Linked DNA regions of Oryzias latipes. The protein of the gene in region 1 purifies or fractionates together with the protein of each later gene. This does not show direct contact. Links are inferred from orthologs where the notes say so. Each region holds a gene or a part of one and is shown in the gene's direction. Other genes may lie near its edges.

The links.
Region 2: the proteins of nod1 (region 1) and sugt1 purify together in Homo sapiens (affinity purification with western blotting; 3 studies listed by BioGRID and IntAct, with this or other methods). This does not show direct contact. The link is inferred for Oryzias latipes from reciprocal best matches to the Homo sapiens genes NOD1 and SUGT1.
Region 3: the proteins of nod1 (region 1) and ripk2 purify together in Homo sapiens (affinity purification with western blotting; 4 studies listed by BioGRID and IntAct, with this or other methods). This does not show direct contact. The link is inferred for Oryzias latipes from reciprocal best matches to the Homo sapiens genes NOD1 and RIPK2.

The regions. Positions count from the first base shown.
Region 1 is NC_019874.2:8,865,252-8,870,249, reverse strand, and holds part of nod1 (nucleotide-binding oligomerization domain-containing protein 1), read left to right. Parts: coding exon 1-7; intron 8-84; coding exon 85-259; intron 260-2,219; coding exon 2,220-4,032; intron 4,033-4,593; coding exon 4,594-4,677; intron 4,678-4,998. UniProt on the Homo sapiens protein: Pattern recognition receptor (PRR) that detects bacterial peptidoglycan fragments and other danger signals and thus participates in both innate and adaptive immune responses.
Region 2 is NC_019875.2:17,071,420-17,076,396, forward strand, and holds the end of sugt1 (protein SGT1 homolog), read left to right. Parts: intron 1-334; coding exon 335-425; intron 426-1,045; coding exon 1,046-1,218; intron 1,219-3,471; coding exon 3,472-3,573; 3' UTR 3,574-4,005; downstream 4,006-4,977. UniProt on the Homo sapiens protein: May play a role in ubiquitination and subsequent proteasomal degradation of target proteins.
Region 3 is NC_019875.2:13,792,324-13,796,472, forward strand, and holds the end of ripk2 (receptor-interacting serine/threonine-protein kinase 2), read left to right. Parts: intron 1-1,099; coding exon 1,100-1,494; 3' UTR 1,495-2,914; downstream 2,915-4,149.

The DNA.
Region 1 (4,998 bases):
AGATAAGGTAGGAGCCTGCAACCTCCGTCAATGTCGCGGAAGTGACTTGTCTGCCCAGATAAAGACCTTCTCAGTCTCCTCCAGGTGCGTAAAGTCTTGGAGCTGGTGCAGTGTAAGGGGGAAGAGGCCTGCGAGTTTTTCATCTACATCATTTCCAAAGTGTGTGATGCGTACAGAGACCTGCAGCCATGGCTGGAGGAAATCAACTTCCACCCGAGAGGCAGTGTCATTGGGATGGAAGTGGTCAACAGCGACCCCAGTGAGTGTTCTTCTGGCAGCAGAGCCTCATTCAGCCTCTGCCATGTCTACAAAAATACTCCATGAAGATGAAAGGATGAAGTTAGCTCTGTCTTTTGTTTTGATGGGAGTTTCAGTTAAAAAATGACCGTTATATCTACATATTTAAAAACAAGTTTTACCAGAAGTTGTAATGCTGCATTCACACAGAATACAATTCACGCATCAAATTCACCTCTGTTTGGACAAGCGTCAAATTTACTCAACACCTGTCCAAAAATGTGGTCATAAACTTGACATTCTGGACGCATGTGGGAGGAGCTACCATTAAAAGTTTTGACATGGAAGCATTGACTATATCTCACATACGATGCATGAAGACACGGATGATGTTGAGAGATCAGGTTTATTAAATTCTGAAGAGCTCTATAGAATCATCTGTGTCTCCATGTGTGGGTTCATGACATCATTCAGAGACTCTCCCAGGACGGTGAGGTTGACCATCTACTGCAGAAGCTGCGTCTGAATGATAGACGTTTTCAGCAGTGCTTCCGTCTCTCTGTGACCCAGTTTGTTGACTGACTGTCCCCCAAGTCTGAGGATGAAAAATAAGAATAAAATTAGAGAATCTTTGTATTATTTTTTATTATTATTTTAATTAATTCAAAATCATAAAGTTCAGAGGTCATTGTTCATGACCAGAGAATGGTAGTTTGTCCTCTCTTGTTGGGTGAAGTGTCCCTGCTCCAGGTGGAAGAGTTTAAATATCTTAGGGTCTTGTTCATGAGTGAGGGAAGATCAGAGCGTGATATCGACAGGCAGATTGGTGCGGCATCCGCCGGTATGCGGTCGCTGTACTAGTCTGTTGTGATGAGGACGTTGGCTGCGCCTAAATTAACTTTGACCTGTATCTGTGTATTTCTGTTGTATGTTTAATCTTGTTTGGGTTGTACTGGAATGACATTTCGTATGTCAGTGTAAGCTTGACAATAAGCCGGATTCTGATTCTGATTCTGAAGAGAGAGCTGAGCCAGAAAGCAAAGCTCTCAATTTACTGGTCGATCTTCGTTCCAATACTAACCTATGGCCATGAGTTCTGGGTCATGACCGAAAGAACCAGGTCCCAGATGCAAGCGGCTGAAATGGGCTTCGTCCGTAGGGTGTCTTGGTACTCCCTTAGAGAAAGGGTGAGAAGCTCAGTCACCCGTTGGGAGCTTGGGGTTGAACTGCTTCTCCTCCACATTTAGAGGAGCCAGTTGAAGTGGCTTGGCATCTAGTCCGTATGCCTCCAGGACGCCTCCTTGGGGAGGTGTTTTGGGCATGTCCCACTGGGCGGATGGAGAGACTATGGAGAGACTATGTCTCCTGGCTGGTCTGGGAACCCTTCGGCTTCCCCCCAGAGGAGCTGGAGGAAGCGGCAGGGGAGAAGGAAGTCTGCCCCCGAGACCCGGTCCCGGATGAGCAGAAGAAGATGGATGGATGGATGGATGGATGGATGGATGGAATGTTCTAGAGGAGAATAATCCGATTCTTCTCCATGTTTGTTTAGACTCAACCCACTCATCACATAATTAACACATCACAAGCCAAAGCTGAGTACCTGATAGGTTAATGCTATGTGTGTTCTTCACCAAAGTTAAGGATATTTGAACTCTGGACACGCTGTGACTCCTAAAATAGGCTGCGACGCTGAACAGAACCTCTGACTGTGCCTTAACATTGACTTAACATTAAAAGTGAAGACCCCTGATGCGTGAATCACCTTCAGTGTGAACAAGTTTACACATGACATGAAGGCAGCCAATCTCTAATTAATAAATGCGCAGAGACTTGAAGTCAAATATTTTTACCATCACTTATTCATATTTATTTTGAATAATTTTAGCCTGATGTCAGCAGATAAATGTGAGAAAAGCTTTCATTTGTAGACTGTCAGCAAATCCGACAGAGAATGCTGACTGACTGTTTGTTCAAACCTTCAGTCAGCAGGTACAGCCAGAAGCTGCGGTACGAGATCAGCCGGGACACCAGCTTCATCATGTCGTACGGGCAGCAGGAGGAGACCCAGCTGGAAGACCTCTACACCGACACTGTGATGGAGTTACTAAACGACACCAATGAGAACCTGGGCTTCTTGGACAATTTGGACCAGCTCCTCGGAGATGATGCAGTCTTCAATCCCCAGGGTGAAGTCATTTATGTGATGGGAGATGCTGGAGTGGGAAAGTCCATCCTCCTGCAAAAGCTGGCAAACCTCTGGTCCAAGAAGGAGCTGAAGACGGATGCCCTCTTCTTCTTCAAGTTTCGCTGCAGGATGTTCAACATCTTCAAGGATGCAGAGCAGATTTCCCTCAGGAACCTGTTGTTCAAATATAACTGTTACCCGGACCATGACCCGGACAATGAAGTCTTCGATTACATCCTGCGCTTTCCTGAGAAGGTTGTTTTCACCTTTGATGGCTATGATGAAATTCAGGAGGATGTGGACATTGTGAAATTTCCTGAAGTGGTGTCTCCAGAAGACAAGGCCAATGCCCTCCAGCTGCTCATGAGCCTCCTAAGTGGGAAGCTGCTGAAAGGCTCCAAAAAGGTGATGACAGCACGAACAGGGATCGAGATCCAAAGTCGGGTGTTGCGGAAGAAGGTAGCTCTCCGAGGATTCTCTCCAGACCACCTGAAGGCTTACATCGATCTTCACTTTAAGGAGCAGGAGCATCGGGAACTTGTGTCAGTTCAGCTGGATGCCAGCCCCCACCTCTGCGGCCTGTGCTCCACCCCCCTCTTCTGCTGGATCGTCTTCAAGAGCTTCAGGCACCTGCAGACCATGCATGACGACTTTCACCTGCCTGACACCTGCATCACCCTGACAAACATCTTCCTGCTGCTGTGTGAGGTCTTCCTTAGCCGCTTGGCCTCACCGGCGGCCTCCTCCCTGAGAAAAGGCACTCGCTGCACCTCAGAAACCTTCAGGGCCGGACTCAGGCCCCTCACGGCGTTTTCCAGGCTGGCTCTTCAGGGCTTGGAGCGCAGAAGTTTAATCTGCAGTCAGGAGGAGATCAGTGAGTGTGGTCTGACAGAGGAGGACTTGGCTTTGGGGTTCCTGAAACCGGTCAGTGACTACGACCCCGGCAGAGGCCCTGGGAGCTTTGAATTCATTCACACCACCCTGCAGTCGTTTCTGGCTGCGTTTGCTCTAGTGCTGGAGGAACAGGCTCCTACAGGCACCATCCTCAAGTTCTTCAGCGAGTGCAGCTGGAGACAGGAGCCATCTTGTCTGCCCTTCACCTTCTGCATCGGCCGCCCTGTGAATTTGAGCCTCAGCAAACCATTTTCCACCAATGAGCACTTTCTGTTCACCAACCTGTTCCTGTGCGGGCTCCTGGCAAAGTCTCAACTCGGCTTGATGGGACATCTGGTATGCTCGAATTTACTGAGGAAAAAACGGGCTACGCTGAAGTCTTACCTGTCCACAGTGGTCCGGAGCCACATGAAGGGCTTACCCACTTACAAAGGGGATGACGGCACTAAGGTTCACGTTCTGCCCAACTTCCTCTGGATGGTGCGGTGCATCTTTGAGACGGGGAGCAAACAGATTGCTCAGATGACAGCCAAGGGCATCACGCCGTACTTCATCAAGCTGGGCTACTGTAACGTGTACTCTGGCGACTGCACCGCCCTAAACTTTGTCCTGCAGCACCATCGGACGCTCCTGCGGCTTGACATGGACAACAACAACATCAGTGACTATGGAGTGAAGCAGCTCAGGCCGTCCTTCAGCAGGATGACTGTGGTGAGGTAAGGAAAGGCTGCAGCTAAACCCTAAACCTTAGCAAATATTCAGTCCAATGTAAAACTCTTTACACTCATCTCAGGTTCCACCTCATTGAGATGAGATGAATGAAGTAAATGCATTTTGAAAATAGATCCATTTTTATCAGTTCTTTTAGCAAATCAAAGGGATTTTTACCAGTAAATAAATTGTTTTAAAATACAGTACAGACCAAAAGTTTGGACACACCTTCCCATTCATTTGAATGAAAAAGTGTGTCCATACTTTTGGTCTGTACTGTATAATGCCGTTCTTTCTCACTAATGTTGGCAAATCATTGTCAAGTATAACAAACCAGTTTGACTTCATAGACATATATGGTTAGAATTAAAGTTTGAAATTCTGTTCTTCCCAAAAGTCTTTGTAACAAACCAAACCAGATTCACAGATGGTCAGAAATGGGTGGGGGCTCTGTCACATTAAAAAAAAAAACGAAACCCATTTGAAAGCTGCACAACCTGATCTGCAATGGTGGATGTTCTTTTCTGCAGAGCTGCTTCTTTGCTCACCTGTTGGTTTCTCTTTAGGTTGTCTGTTAACAGCCTGTCAGACAGCAGCATAGAGATTTTGGCTGAAGAACTGTGCAAGCACAAAATTGTGCAGATTTTGGGGTGAGTAGACATTGTTCCTCTGGAGCTGTTCCTTTGCTCCTAATGTCAGTATCACCCTGAGGTGTGGACTCGAGTCAGACTCAAGTCATGAATTTGATGACTTTAGACCCGACTTGAACTTTCACATCAGTAACTTGTGACTTGACTCGGAAAGACTTGCTATTTGCCCCAAATCCAAAGATTAGAAACATTTTGACAAAGCCCACACCGCGGTCACTCTGTCTCTATGTTTGTTCACATTTTTGTTTGATGTCGGCATGACAGCCAATCAAATTAGGACCACAGCGGTTTGATCCGACAAGCCATCCAATCAAATTGCAG
Region 2 (4,977 bases), on another chromosome or scaffold:
TCACACTGGCCCTCTGGCTGACAGGCATCTCGTTAGTGCTGCGTGTCTGTCAGTGAGGTTGGAGATTGAGCCGTGCCCCCGCACATCCCTGATGTCTGCCGCAGACACACACTCTCACACTCCTTGTTCACAGGCTAAGCTGTCCGCGCCTCTGAACAGCGCCGGCTTTCCAGCCTCAGTAATGATCCCGCGTCCTTTTAAACACGCCGCCACATCTGAAGCCTCATCTCTACGGCCCCGAATGCATGACCTTCCGTTGCGTTAAGCATTGTCGTTTTTATCCTTTGTTTTTTTGTTTTTTTTACCACCCCCGCCTCCCCTTCTCTTCCGTCAGGTGGAAATCAAGATGAAGAAGACTGAGGCCATTAGATGGGAGAAGCTGGAGGGAGAAGGGCAGCAGACCAACATCAAACACTTCAATCCCGGTCAGTCCTCAGTCTTCCTGCACACCTCCATCACCTGTTACTTAACCGTTTCTGATTCCCTTCTCTCTGCAACTATCACCTGTTTGTTCTCTGCTAAATTGAGAGTGGGCAGCGAGGCTCCGCTCCCGGCTTTCATTAGTCTGACAAGTTAACAATAGACGGAGTAAAGCAGAAGGATGACAACAAGGCGTGACTCAGTAGTCAAGCACACATATTTCTATAAGAGGCAGGGTTAATTACTGACCTAAGAGATGGAAAAGAAGAAGTTAGAACTCATCTTCTGTTTTCCTTTGAGGTCTGACATCTGACTTCATCCAACTGCGCGGCCGTCTGTCCAGACTTGGCCTGAATCTGTCGCCTCTCTGCGCTGCATTTTTGTAAATCTGTGTCTGGATTGTGTTTCCCGCTCTCCCGTCTCTCATTGGATTATGTGGTTGTATTACACTTAAATAAAGCCAGTCTGAATTTTGTGAGTCACAAAATCGTCAAATCGATGGGCAAGTTTTCCAAGTTAACTTTGATTTTAAAAATAGTTCAATAAAAGTGTATAAAGTTGATCAATTCTGCCTCTTTTCAGTGAAAAATGGAGGCTGATCTCGCTTGTGCTTGTCTTCCGTCAGACCCGTACCCCACATCCTTACACTACACCCGCAAGTGGGACAAGATGGTGTCGGACATCAGCGAGGAGGAGAAAAACGAGAAGCTGGAGGGAGACGCGGCACTCAACAAGCTCTTCCAGCAGATTTACACGGACGGCTCGGACGAGGTCAAACGAGCCATGAACAAATCATTTGTGAGTACTTTTCCTCCAAGTGGCATTTGACTTTTAACGTTTGCAGACTCCTCTGCTGCTGGAGAGCAGTCAAATTAAGCTGAATAGGATGTTCTTCATCTTCTGTCCAGCAGAAGTTAATCCTTTTACAAAATAAAAGCCTTCAGGAAAGAACTGCACCTCTCAGTTATCCTCCCATACCCATTTCTCCCACCTTAGATAGGGGAGGCGGTGTGTCAACCGTGTTTTTATAAAATATCAGACCTTTTGGGTATTAACAAAAAAAAGATAGTGTCTCACTCTTTCTGAACATGTCTTCCCTGAAACCCTCTTGTCCGCTTTGCAGTGATTTTTTTTTTTTAACAGAGCAGACAGGAAGGGAGTGAGGAGAAAGCGAAGAGTCTAAGTTTGTATGCATTCTCATACAAAAACAGGAGATCATAGAAACACAGACAGCTTGAGATCTGCTCTGTCAGCCGAAGGATCAGATTTCGCCAAGAAAACAAACAAAACTCCATTATCTGCAAGTGAGCACGTAACAACACTGCAGTTTTATTTCACTGGTAAAATTTCCTCTTTGCAACACAGAAACTCTCTCCTCCTTTAAGCTGAAGATGTAAAACTGGTCAAAGCTGACAGTTTTAACAAGTGTGTTTTAAAAAAAACATTGTTTTTCACACTTGCATCAGCGATTCTAACTCTATATTTGATTCAGCAAGTGCCATCTAGGTTAAAGAAGAAAGAGTTTGTCTTTTCATGGAGAGCTGACCTTTTGATAGAGGCAGCTTTGGTCTTTTCACCTCACAATAGTGTAAGTATTGTTGAAGTGATCTCTCGTTTCCCCGTCGTTAGCTTTGCGCTCACGAAGGAAGCTAATTTTTGGCCTCAATTCGGGACCCATTCGACGTCCTCCAACTATTGCATAAATCTGAGCGAAAAGCGGAGCATTCCTCAAACCGGCACAGACGGACGCTGAACTGACGGCGACCCACAGCCGCTCCCAAACAGCCATCTGCACTTATCGCAACACGCATATTGATTTGCCACAGTCATGTCATCTGAATCCATGCAGAAGAGATGGGGACTGCGGAGTCTTAAAAAAAAGACAAAAAAAATGAATCCACACTCAAACTGACGGCTCGTGTTGGAGGTGGATCTGGGCTGCTTTCTGCAGAAATGATCATTTATATGAACAGTGATCCACTTTGGTTTTCATTTGTAGCATTCTGAGGAAGTGAAGAGCTGCAGGATTTGTGTATTTGTGTTGACTTGAAGATCACTAGATTTTTAATGGAATGGAATATTATATATTTTTTTTTTATTTAACCTTTATTTAACCAGGAAAGTCCCATTGAGATTAAAAAACACTTTTCCAAGGGAGTCCTGGCCAAGAGGCAGCACATTTCAATACAATTTCACATTTTGAAACAAACCAGCACCTTTCTTTTTGCTTATTTTGCCTGCAAATATCCCAGATTTTCTTTTAATCCTTTTGAAATCCCTTCAAGATAAAGCTCTGCCGTTTTTTTAAGGAACCATTCAGTGCTTGGTCTATGCAGAATATAATAGTTGGCAAAAAACAATTTTATAGACCCACTTGATTATAATTTAATCTGTTTTGAACGTGATCCCAGTGGAATTTTAATTATGATTATGCCGTTTTTAGCCAAAATAATAAAAAAAAAAACTGTAGTTTTGTAGGACATAGTTTCCACAGAGCTGCAGTAGTTCATTAGAAATTTGCCTCAGAGTTGTGGGGGGAGGGGGGACGATGACGCAGAGCAACCCCACCCCCCATTCCCCTTCTCGTTGCTGAGAGCTTGGCGCAATGGGAACCCAATGTCACAAATAAGGTCTTTTTGCAACAGCATGTTTTTGTCTGCTCCTGTTTCACAAGTATTTGTATAAAGAAATAATCAGAAATGTAATATTAAGCTTACATTTTCTTTATATATCTTTATATAAATTTTCTTTATATTCTTTATATAATCCTCAGAAGGATCCCGCTAGAACATGTCAAAAACGCCAATAACATCATTTTAATCGGAAAGTTCTTTAAGCCCTTTTAAGAGGCTGAAGTGCGAAGAGAGGACAGAAAAAACCAAGTCAAAGGAGAAACTATAAAGTCCTTCAGAAAGCCTGTAGACCGGCTGCTCAAGACACTTTAAAAGATTAGACAAAATCAGTTCAGAAAACCTTCAAGGACAAGAAAGGTCAGCTCACACGGAAAGTTATGCATCAAGGTTTAATGAAATCTCATGCGCGTGTGTGCAGATGGAGTCTGCTGGCACCGTTCTGAGCACCAACTGGAAAGATGTGGGCAAGAGGAAGGTGGAGGCGAGTCCACCCGACGATGTGGAGCACAGGAAGTACTGAGCGCGTGCAGCTCTCTCTGCTTTCCTCCTCCTGTTTAAAGTCATCAAGTTGGTTCGTCTGAGCTCCGGCGGGAATCCCGACGCTCTGCTGCGAGCGTGACAGCCCACCTCTCCTCCTCATGTCAGTGCTTTTTTTCTTTTTTTTCTTCACTAAGTGCAGGGAGCCAGCGTTCCCACTCTCCCTTTCCCAAACCACAGATGGCTTATTCTCTGAAAAAGCTGATCACTAACTGGGTTCGATTGATTTTGAATAAAGGCCGACATACATGAAGGGAAGCAGGTGTAACTGATAGGCCTGAAACATCACTTTTAGAATCGCTATGTTTCTGTTTTCTCCAAAAGACCTTCCTGTTTGGCAGCCTTTATCACCTAATATCAGTTCTTGTGTACAAATGTAAAGTTGCTAATAATAATAAAAAGGATTTTAAAAATACAACTGACTTTAGAGTTTTTCTTCTTTCTGATCAGTCGACATTAATACTCGTCAGGTGTTCTCTCAGTGTGACTTTAGGTTTGTTAAAAAGAAAGATTTGTCGTTTGACTTCATAACGTTCATCTTGTGTTTTATAGTCATTTCCGGGGATTTTTGTTAACGGGTGGGATCGCCTCGAGGAAACCCACGGCTACTGAAATGACTGTATGACCATTGACTGTATCGGACTCTGTTTTACTATCTAGTGCTCCGGATTTCAAAAGTAATTTAGACACCATGCTCGCTCCTTTTTCTTTTTTTAGAGGCAAATATGATGACGTCATCGATTCCTCAAAGTAAAAACCTAATAAATATTAACATTTTATAAAGACTGTTTATGAAGAAATATGTTCTCATGATGAAAACTTGTAAAAAAAAAAAACATTTTTTTTCCACAAAAATTGTTCAAACGCAATGCATTGTGGTCTACGTTTGCCAATTTAGTGATTCACACTGGTTTTTTGCAGAGACTTCTGGGAAATTTCCAGGGTACTCAATTCTGGAATAGAAGATTCAGGCAGCACTACAAAATGGTGAACTCGCTGAATAGTGCACTATGTAGTGAGTAGTGAAGGAATTCTGACGATACCAAAGAGAACTGGAGTCTGATGCCACCTCTAGAGAACGGCTTAAGTCCGACTCAGTCGCCTTTTTTTGGCAAAACTTACGTCGCCATGTTGGAGCCACACAATGTCAGTTAGCAGTGATTCGTTTTAGTCTGTCTGAATCAACGCGTCTATGGCAACCACTATCGCCAATCAGGAGTTAGCTTGTGGGAAGGCCACACCCCCTACCACTTGAAAGCAAGATCGGGGTTGTGTCCGGATTCAGTATAAACTATAAAGTGAGTTTGATATTTTGTAGTGCTCTCCGAATCTGCTATTCCAAAATTTACATGCCCTATAATTTTCCCAGAAGTCTCTGCGAAAACCA
Region 3 (4,149 bases), on another chromosome or scaffold:
TTTTAAAGAAATTTCACAATTAGAAAAAGAAGTCAACATTTTACAAAAATAAAACAGTAAATTTATGACTTAAAGTTGTAACCAATCAAGTTGTGATTTCATGAAAATGAAGTACATTTAAAAGAAATTAAAGCAGATTTAGGGGAATTTTTGAGCAATGTGATTTTTGTTATTTCTGGAAATTGTATTTTCCGGACTATAAGTCGCCCTTTTTTTCATAGTTTGGCAAGGGGTGCAACTTATACTCCGCAGTGACTTATATTAGAACTAAATTGAAATACATACATTGTTAACCCTCCTGTTATGTTCATTTGTGAGGAACAGAGAGGATGTTCCTGGGTCAATTTGATGGATGAGGTATGTTAAGTGTTAAGAGTTTAAGTGACTCAGAGAATCAGCAAACTTTTTTTACAGTAAGATCTTGAAGGCTAACAACATAATATTCTATTGATGATCTATGATTTCATAGATTCAGAAATGCAATAAAAATGACTACATTCTACAAATACAGGATGAAAACAGAGTATTAGTTGGCCAATGATGCTTCATGAAAAGAATAAATAAACAAGTTTGAGAAAGAATTCTTGGTCTCAGATTTTGTCAAATAAATTTCCCGTCAAAATGCGACTTATAGTCCAGTGCGACTTATCTGTGTTTTTTTTTCTACTTTATAATGCATTTTTGGGCTGATGCGACTTATACTCTGGAGCGACTTATAGTCCGGAAAATACGGTAAACATAAAATGTGTGATTGTCTTTGTTGTTTTTGAAGCTAAATGTAACATTTTAGGTTCATTGATGACTCTAAATTGTCCCTATTTGTGGATGTGAGAGTGTGTGCGTGTTGTTGTTGTGTGACTCTGCAACAGGCTGGTAAACTGTTCTGGATGAACCCAAAAATGTCTGGGATAGGCTCCAGCAACACTGTTACCATAAAAAGGATTAGGCAGGTTTGGAAAATGGATGGAGTTCAGTTATCAAGTCTGACTTGCAAATGTTCTGGGAGGAGCTACTATTGGACGTTCTCTTTTAGTTTAGTGCACAACAAATGTAGGTTATCAGATTGTCTCAAATGGCTCTGCTTTCTCCATTCTTTCAGCTGATTGCTCTCCTCCACTGCCGCACTCCCCCCCGCTGTCACAAGGCCCCATCAGCAGCTGGATCGCCATGCGGCGCGTGCAGATCGTCTCCCAGATGACGGAGGCCTGTCTCAACCAAAGCTTGGACGCGCTGCTGGCTCGCTCCATGCTGATGCGCGAGGACTACGAGCTGGTGGTCAACCAGCCGACGCGCACCGCCAAAGTCCGCCAGCTGCTGGACAACTGCCACAAACACGACGAGGACTTCTGCCGCATTGTCGTCCGCAAGCTGTTCGACAACAAGCAAATGGGCCTGAACCCGTACCCCACAGACATCAGCTGTCCCACCTCTGCAGCTGCTGTGCCAAGCGCTCCATCTCTGCCCACCTCCTGCAACATCCCCAGAAACTTTTAGCAGAGGTGGCAGCAAATCAGAGGACCGATGATGGCGTCGTCGCACCACAGCTGACCCTTCCTGGTTCTGTTGTCGTTAGCAATAAAGGTGTAGGTTTTGTCCTTCCGTAAAAATCAAAAGATACAGAATGAGTTGATGATCTTAAATTGTTATGGATTTTGTATTTATACTCCATTTTTTTTTTATTTCCTTGTGTTTTCTCTTATTAAGGCCCATCTTTTTAGATACTCGTGTGCATTTGCCTAAAGGAAGCGCCATGGAGACTGTTACTTTGCTGGCAAACCTGCAGTAAAGAAAAGACCCCAGACAGAGTACAATCTCAAGGCAGCACTTTCCCATGAGTTCACATGAACATTTATAAAACCTCCCTTTACCTGTAAAGTGCACAGTTTGCATTAGAAAATATATCATATTGGTGCAAATTCAATTTTACTGAAGAGAAGACGATTAGTGTGTTCACAAGAATCTCAAGAATATGACAAAAATGTTTGGGGGTTTTTGTGTCAAAGTTAAGCAGCTCACAATAACTACTGTATTTATTACGAAGTAACCTCTCAGTATTTCTATTCATGCTCACATTTTGAGGCTTGACACCCACCCAGATACTTTAGAGCCCTCTTTCTTCCAGAAACTTTTCGTTATTAATCGGCTCTAACTTTTTGGAAGTTGCCAAAACTGCTTTTCTTGTAGCAAACTTTCCTGGAATTGTAATCCAATCATCTTGAAGTTTTGTTTTCCATTATAACAAGAACAACTCCTTTTTAATAAAACAGTGATGGCTTCCATAAAGAAGAACAGTTAAGAGAGTAGCACCAGTATCTGTACAGATAATACACTTTTTGATGTCTATTTTAAGATGTAGCAAAGGAAAACAAAGTTACAGCATTAGGAAAAGAGTTTTGGTTTAATGGAATAGTAAGCAGAATAGGTTAGGTTTATTCTATTCATTGGCTGGCAAAGCAGTATATTTAACACTTTCAATGGAGGGCCTTACTGGTGTCTTCAATGCCTTTGCTTCTTAAAGGAGGTGCTTAAATTTCCAAACGGTAGCTTTTCTGTGTACAATGTTTTCCACCTTTGCCTTTTCCCAACGTGCTCAAATGTGGATTACTGGTTACTAAAGTGCACACTCTGACAAACGTCAGGTTTTCAGCCATCCGTAGTCCCTGAAATGACAACAGAAATTAGGCTTTTTGTGCTTCCAAGTGTTGGATGTGTCCTTAAACTCTGTGCCTCATTGTGACGGCCTTTGTATCTTGTATTATATTTTGTACTGTACCCACATTGTTGTACATCTTTATCTTTATGTGGTAGTTTAACACCTAAGATGTCTGTTGAGGTAAAGTTGCATTTTCTAGTGCGACCTTTTTTCAAATATTCTGTCACTTCTTCCATTAAATGGGAATCGATCACTTTGTAATTTCTGCAATTCTTTTTTTTCTTTATCTGCAATAACAAATCAGGAATCATTAGGCTGCACCCATATGAACCCACTCACACCAGGGGCCTGCCTAAGTTCCCCTTTTTGGAAAAAAAAGGGCATGTTTTAGTGGAATGACTTGGAAGTAACAGAATATCTCCTTTGAAAATCATGTTTGAGTTTAGCAAATTAAAAAAAAGAAAAGTGGTGCTTTATTTGTTGTCCAGGATATACACTGGACCGTCATTTTGAAAAGCGGAAATCCAATACCCAATAATCCAATCTCAAACTTGGAGTCTTGTTTTTAACCCTTGTGCTATCCTAGGCACTTTAACATTGGGAGGTGGGTCATCTAGACCCACTAGACAGTGCGCTAAACCTTTTTTCTTCAGTGATTTGTGAACCTCACTGGTGTCCATGGATGACATTAAATCTTTCCACCTTTATCCACCTTTGTCATGGTAGGGAGAACACGTCAATGTATGGGTGGATTCATCTAAGATAGCACAAGGGTTAAAGTGGCTAACTCCTAGTTTTGGTACAGCCCTGCTCAGCAAACAGTATGTCAGAGCAGAACACAGGCTACCATGTAAAAATGAAAGAGGTAAGGCGTTGAGTATTTTAAACTGTTGGTCTTAAAGAAGAGATTGTACCATTTGATAAATTCACATATCCGTTTTTGTTTTTTCACTTTTCTCTATCATCCTCTTTCACCACAGTATCATCTGAACTCTTTGAGATATGGCAGCTGCTCCGATGAGAGTCAGCTGTGTTCAGAGTGAAGAGGAGGAGCAGCAGCACAATCTCATGGAGATTATGGCGAGGTGACACTCATGGGGATGTGTCGTTCCAGTTAAGTACCTCGACTGGCAAGTAGTGAATTAATCTCCATTGATCAAATGTAGAAGTTTACATACTCAGACACATGAGAGAGGATGTTGGTGTGGTTGAACATCGTGCAGAACACTTCGTATTCCCCCATCCACTGACTGTTTCAGCCAGAAGCAGCACTGGCTCCACAGTGTTAGCTGTTGAATGCAGGGGGCAGGAATGGGTTCGGCTCGTTTCTGAAAATAGCTCAGAGGGGGAACACGAGAGTATGGGAGCTCAGTGCTGCAAAAAACACGGGTTGTTTGCAGGGATTGCGACACCGATTGGAAATTGCCACCTCTGAGATGTGATCCTACCAGCTTGACTGCTGTCTAAGAGAAGTGTTTCTTTGAAAGAGTGAACCA